2 linked regions of the Sus scrofa genome follow. The protein of the gene in region 2 purifies or fractionates together with the protein of the main gene of each other region. This does not show direct contact. Links are inferred from orthologs where the notes say so. Each region holds a gene or a part of one and is shown on either strand. Other genes may lie near its edges. The genes, in order: USP48 and UBA6.

What was found.
Region 1: the proteins of UBA6 (region 2) and USP48 fractionate together in Homo sapiens (co-fractionation; 3 studies listed by BioGRID, with this or other methods). This does not show direct contact. The link is inferred for Sus scrofa from reciprocal best matches to the Homo sapiens genes UBA6 and USP48.

What each region holds. Positions count from the first base shown.
Region 1 is NC_010448.4:79,758,201-79,762,027, forward strand, and holds part of USP48 (ubiquitin carboxyl-terminal hydrolase 48), read right to left. Parts: intron 2,286-3,827; coding exon 2,181-2,285; intron 1-2,180.
Region 2 is NC_010450.4:65,380,488-65,384,086, forward strand, and holds the end of UBA6 (ubiquitin-like modifier-activating enzyme 6), read right to left. Parts: intron 2,998-3,599; coding exon 2,862-2,997; 3' UTR 571-2,861; downstream 1-570. UniProt on the Homo sapiens protein: Activates ubiquitin by first adenylating its C-terminal glycine residue with ATP, and thereafter linking this residue to the side chain of a cysteine residue in E1, yielding a ubiquitin-E1 thioester and free AMP.

The sequences.
Region 1 (3,827 bases), on a different chromosome or scaffold from region 2:
AAATGTATAGATTTAGTGGTTAGCACTGAGGCAAAGGGGCCCAGAACAAAAATTTGGTAGCAGTGAGTGAACAATCAATGCCAGCAGAACAAAGTGCCTGACTTTGTTCTTTCCCAGATTTTCCCCCCCCCTTTTTCCTTTTTTGGCCACTCTGTGGCATATGGAGTTTGCAGGCCAGGGATCAGATCTGATCCATAGTTGTGACCTAAGCCACAACTTCACCGGTGCTGAATCCTTAACTCACTGTGCCAGGCTGGAATTGAACCTGCATTCCAGGGCTCCTAAGATGCTGCCAATCCTGTTGTACTCCTTACAGGTATCTTATTTATTTATTTATTTTATTTTGTCTTTTTGCCTTTTCTAGGTCCACTCCTGTGGCATATGGAGGATCCCAGGCTAGGGGGCGCATCGGAGCTGTAGCCGCCAGCCTACGCCAGAGCTACAGCAACGTGGGATCGGAGCAGCGTCTGCAATCTACACCCCAGCTCTCCGCAACGCCAGATCCTTAACCCACTGAGCAAGGCCAGGGACCGAACCTGCAACCTCATGGTTCCTACTTGGGTTCGTCAACCACTGAGTGACAACGGGAACTCCCTCTCATGGGTATTTTAAAGTTAACATTTTATGAAATTCAACAGGTGATGGAATACAAATGGCTGTGGTTGCAGCTGTGGCTCAAATTTAGTCCCCAGACCAGAAACTTCCCTATGTTTTGGGTGTGGCCAAAAGAAGAGAAAGCAAACAAACAGCTAAGCAATCAGGTCTTTTTAGCAGCACCTGTTGTACCAGGAAATGCTCAGGCCAGGGATCCAACCTATGCCACAGCAAAGACCCAAGCTGACCCAATGACAACACCAGATCCTTAACTTGATGATGCACCACAAGGGAACTCATAAAACTAAACTCTGCAGTAGAAATCCTATAAATTTAAGGTAAATCTATACTGCCCTGGTGAATAACAGACATCTTGAGAAGCTGAAACTTATTTACACAATATTAACAGCCATATTCTCAGTGTTTCCTGTTTTTGACAATTTCCTCCAATCACTATGAAAATGTAGAATATAAACAAACAACCAAATAAGAGAGGTAGAAATATAACAATATACACAGAAAACAGGACATTTTAGTTATTAAATATTTGGAATTTAATATCATCACCATGAAGAATGAAAAACTAATGCTGGGAGTTCCCGTCGTGGCGCAGTGGTTAACGAATCCGACTAGGAACCATGAGGTTGTGGGTTCAGTCCCTGCCCTTGCTCAGTGGGTTAACGATCCGGCGTTGCCGTGAGCTGTGGTGTAGGTTGCAGATGCGGCTCGGATCCTGCGTTGCTGTGGCTCTGGCGTAGGCTGGTGGCTACAGCTCCGATTAGACCCCTAGCCTGGGAACCTCCATATGCCGCGGGAGCGGCCCAAGAAATAGCAACAACAACAACAAAAGACAAAAGACAAAAAAAAAAAAAAAAAAAAAAAAAAAAAACTAATGCTGATCTAGTGATTTGACTAATACATTAAGAGACCCAAAAATCTCTTCTATAAACTCCTCTTTTTTTTTTTTTTTTTTTGCTTTTAGGTACAGAGATCAGATCCAGCACAGCCCTAACTCTTCCCAGAAGGTTCCCAGGCTAGGGGTCCAATTGGAGCTATGGCTGCCAGCCTACACCACAGCCACAGCTAGGCAGGATTCGAGTCTGAGACCTACACCACAGCTCACAGCAATGCTGGATCCTTAACCCACTGAGCAAAGGCCAGGGATCTCATGCTCATGGATGCTAGTCAATTCGTGTCTGCTGTGGCAAGACAGGAACTCCTATACACTCCATTATCAAAGCTATTGTCTTATTTTGTTTGTAATGAGGGAAAATGAGTTTAATATATAAAGAGTCCATGATTAATCAACAGACCAAGATATGGGTCTTAAGTCTTCCTTCCAGATAAAAATTTTATCATTACAGAGTATTTAGCCTTAAGCGCAAGAAATGTATTTATGCTGGAATAATGTAGTCCATTGCGTTTCATGAGAAAATCAGGACAGCTATAGCAGGCTATCCAATTAAGGGGAGAAGAAAAACAGGAAAACCAATATCCTCCAAGGCTATGGGGATGTCCAGGGACTTTTAGTGACTACTTTCAGAACATCAGAAGGTGTAACAATGAAGAGTAGGTTCAGCACGTACTTGATTAAAATCTGGATCTTTTTCTCCGTCTGGCTTAGCTTCTTCCTTGTCCTCCTCTGTTTCAGAACTACTCACATTTAGTTCCGGAGCTGAATCCTTCATCACCTGAATGTGAGAGGAAAAGAGAGAGAAGTAGGTCAGCCACCAGGAAGGTGAGCTATGGTGGCTGTGGGGCTTGGACTGGCCACCTTTACCAATGGTGGGATAATAGACCAGACAGAGGATCAAGATTCAAGGCCTTTCTGTAACCTCTGCTCTTTAATACGCTGGTTTTTACTTTCTGATCTATTCTTGTATTTAATGTGTTCCCCATAAATGTAAACAGTCTCTGCAGAGCAGTTATCAGATTTTACAATGATGTTATTTTGCACAAGTTCGAAGGTGCTCTACATTTTCCCGTGACACTGATCTGTCAAGCCTTTTCAAGTATGGGCTGGAGTCCCAATGTTCCTTAAGACTGAGAAAATGAACTATGGATAAATACTGCTGTCAAAGCAATAAATAATAATAATAATGAAACTTTACCTAAATTGGATACTATTTTATACTAGATACCAATATATACATGCACTGATAGGTACAAAATATCAGAAAATTCTAGGGGAAACTTCATTTTCTCACCAAATTAGGAAATTAAGCCATCATTTCAACTTGTAAAAGCAAAACCCTAGACCATCAGAGCATAATTTTTAAGTTATCTTCAAATAATGTTTGATAACTACCATTAAATAAAATGTATTCTGTTTTTACTTCCAAAAAACCTTGGAACCAAATGAGATGTCTAGAAATCTGGCTAAGGATCTACCTAAGAGCCATCCCTAATATAGTTTAAAAAACAAACAAACAAAACCAATCCATAGTAACATCCCTGGCCCCCTAAATATACCCAAATCTGTCTACATCACACCTATCCTTTATATCAGTGTAAGAGGCTCTAAACTGGCTTCCTTATTTCCCATAATGTCCTCACCACATCCACACACAATGGTATGGGTGGACTTGAAAGTAAAAATGAGACCACACCATGACCTCCCCTGAAACTCTCCAGTGGCTTGCATCTACACTTAGAGATTCCATATCCTCGCCTTGATGTATATAAAATCCAACAAAACCTGAGCCCTCATCACATCGCTAAACCTCCTGGGAAGAAACTCTAGACCAGTGCTGTCCACTACAGTAGCCAGAGGACCCATGTGGCTATTTAAACTTAAATGAAGAGAAAAATTTCAGATCTTTAGTCACCCCAACCACACTCTATGTGTTCCACAGTCAAATGTGGCAAGTGGCTCCCACGCGAATAGTGTAGATCTGGAACATTTCCATCACTGCGGAAAGTTCCATTGGGCACTGATGCTCTAGACACAGTAACTATTGCTTGAGCACATTAGGCTTATGCTTTTGCTTGGACCACATGCCAAAGGCTGGGTCTCGGATAATAAAACAGCTCTTCCCTGGAGGCACCCTTCCTAACCACTCCCTATCCAACAGTGCACCCGGACTCTATTGGTCTCTCAACTTACCCTGCTATATTTCCTTCAAAATACCTGTTCTTATCTGAAATCATCCTATGGATTTATGGGCTTATTCTTGATCTGCCTCACAAAGTACAAATATTCTTGAGGAAAGGTGCCTTCTCTGTTTTCCACA
Region 2 (3,599 bases):
ACCTAGTGACTGTATATTAAATGGTTATACATTTACAATCACAATGAGTTTTTGATAATAATCATTGGAGTCGAAAGGATTATTAGGTAAACTTCTTTCCCTCAAGATTTCAAGAGAAGAATTTTCTTTCTGTCTTTATTACACTAATTATAAAACAGTAGACTCCAAACACTGCTGATTTTTTTTATGCCTTGTCATTGGCACCACCAGGGAGTGCCATGATAGAAAAAAAAAAAAAAATCTATTTCCAAGTTCTACCTTTGGAACAATTTAAAGGAACTTATAGATGAGTAACATACTGCTCTGAAAAGGAATGCAATTTAAATCCCCAACCAACATCTGGGATATACCAGATTTTCTAGGTTTCTCAATATTCCCTCAATTGTTTTAACAGAATTTCCAGGAGCCAAAAGCACTCTGAAGTAATGTCCCTCCACATTCAGTGAGTATTGTATCTTCATGACTGCAAAACTTGAAAACTAGGAAACACCAAAGCAACACTACTCACCAAACGAATAGTAAAATTGGAATCTCTGGAGTCAGTATGGAACAGGATTTACAAAGACATTGTCAAATTTCTTAATTTATTTTTAATAGGTAAAAAATTACTCAGTGGTACTGTACAAAATCAAATCATTCATTTTTGCACCTGATATTTCAATTACCAGCAGTGATCTCATGGTACAGAAATAAACAAAATAGATAATGAAAAAAACCATCACTAAATTCACACTGGCTTTCCAGGTTAGTAGAAGTAAAAAGAAGAAATTAATGGCAATAAATATTACCTACAGGAAAAAAAAGCTATGAGAATATGGTTTCAGCCTTCATCACAAAATGAATTTAAGCCTTGTTGATTTTGTTGATATCTGCTAAAAGCACTGAATAAGAATTGATAACTTGGTTCTGTTCTAAATTTATTTCTAAAGAGATGTGGAGATTTGGACCAAATATAAGTAAGCTCTCAGATCACAACTAGAGAATTACTGAATGCCTACCTGGAAAATATGAGTTACTATCAGAGTACAAAACAGAAAAGTGGCAAACAGGATTCTTATAGAAAAGTCTTATTGCTAGTCTCTAAAGCTCTAAGCCACAGAGTTTTGATATTCCTTGATTTATTTTTAAGTAATATTAGTTTTAAGCATTATACTTGCAATATACATGATAGAAGTGGGTATGATTGATGAATCAAAATTAATTATTTTGAAGGCAGCCAATTTCTTTAAATGCATCCTGTTCACTTATCCTCATTTCCAAATGCACAGATTACCCTTTATTTATTTATTATTATTTTTCTTTCTCGGCTGCACTTTCAGCATGCAGAAGTTCCTGGGCCAGGGATCAAACCCGTGCCACACCAGCGACCCAGATTGCTGCAATGACAACACAAGATTCCTAACCTGCTGCATCACAAGAGAACTCCACAGATTATCAATTAATCATACAAATTCACCCTTCACTCCTAAATTATTTTCCCAATTAGATGATAGTTTTACAAAAGAATGAAACAATACAGTTGGCTAAGTAATTTAAACTATTCATAAGTGGAATAAAAGTTAAGTAGAGAATATAAAAAGATATCAAATTAGAGTAATACTAATGTGAATCTAGTTTTTAATTTATTGAAGTACCTATTCATGGTCTGAATAGAAGACAAGCAGCTAAAGGGAAATGACTTTGCAGTTATAAAATTGCTTTAGAATGCATGATAGCCTTAGAAAAAGAATAAATACTTGGTGTTTTCACTAAGTTGACAGTGCTGAGCACACTTTATGTCATCTTAATGAAAGCATTTCTATGAACATCTGCAATAGCTCATTTCAGAAAACAGAAAGTTTCTATCACAAAGACCTAAAAAAATAAAATTTTATCTTCATCAATTCCCTTTCTGGGAATGTAGAATTAAATTAATACATTTCCTTTTAAAATAAAATATTAATTTTTTTTTCTGTCCATTAGGTTGCTGGAAGAAAAAAATCAAGACTCAACTAGTGATAATTTTTTAATTTCTATTTTTCATCTACTTCTAAGGACAACTCCCTTTACAAAGTCTTTTAGTCTTATATGCTATGACAATCAGGTTTAGAGTTCCAAATAAATAAAATAACCACATCAGAAGGCATACTGAAGAATCAAATGACTAGCCGTGTTTATGTGTTCACATTCACGGATTCTCTAAGAGGCCTATCAGAGTCCAAAAAATATGTTAACATTTAGTTCCGGTTAACACCTGTCATTTGATGTGTTCAACAAAGATCCTGATTCTGAGGAGGCAGTGATATAAACTCTGGTTAACTCATCAGAGGTAACAGGACAGTAATCTGTAACTGTACATTTCAAATGTCTACTATTCATCCACTTCTACCACCCCTCCTCTACCCACTGGTGTTAAAGTCAAAGCCTCACCATGAAGGGTACAGGGAGCCAAACACTATCTGTATAGAAACACGGGCCTCAAATACTAAACAAAGAGAAATTCATAAAATAGGATGAAACCTTTTGGATAGCTCCATTTGTTACTTTCAGTTTCTTGATCTTTTATCTCTTCTGGTCTTGGATAGCTATTTTTCCTTCTTTTCGTTCAAAGAGGTTAATACACAAATATTTTTGTAAGCATTAAAAAAAGGCATTCCAGTTCAAAGTTGCTTGTGATTACATCCACATATGATGCACTACACAAGTGTATAGTATGCTTCAACATGCTTTACAATTCTTCACTGTGGTTTTCTACTGATGTTTCCCTTAAATTAAGGCTTCATCAAAGAGAAATCCATACCATTACAAACTGACTTTTTTAGCTCCTGAATGAAGTGCATTCTTTCCAACATTAAGTAATCCTAAATTTAAGACAACTTCTGTTAATCAGTGTCATGACTAAAGTAGTATCTTACTGGAGGTCCAGGTAAATCTTCATCACCATCAGTATCTGGAGCAAATGACACAGTAAGATCCACATATTTCTTTTCAGTAGAAGGTTTCACAAGTTTATGCATTCTAAGAAAAATAAACAAGGACAAATAATTTGGTAAATTCTGTAAAATCAGAGTGATGCGCTGATCAATGTTGCCCAATCTGGGCTTGTTCAAATTTATGCATATAATTATTTTCTTTACTGAAAGTTGTAAAATCAAGACACTCATTTACTTAAGGGTGAATCAATTTTTCCCTCTGTTGGTACTGATAAAGAAAATAGACCATTTATTGAAGGACAAACAAAAACAAAAACAAAACACATCGAAAAAAAATCACACACAAAAACACCCAAAATGTAAGCAATGCTTTTTAAAAATGATTTCTCCTCTATACTTCCTATAAAGTTTGGAGGGTTAGCAGCCATTTAGTCCTGTCCAAATGTCCATAATACATTTTGGTCCACACCAAAACGTCCATGATACTTGGTCTTGTCTAAAACCACTTGGTATGGCTCAAATTCCAAGAGCTTTTTTGGTGTGGACTAAATATCTTACAGATGTTTTCATAACCAATGTCCTATAAAGAGTATGGAAGCATTGTAAGTTCTTCTCAAGCATGTCTCTGTAAAAGTAACAAGCAAGCATTTAAATCTTCAAATGAAAGCTAGAAATATCACTATGAAA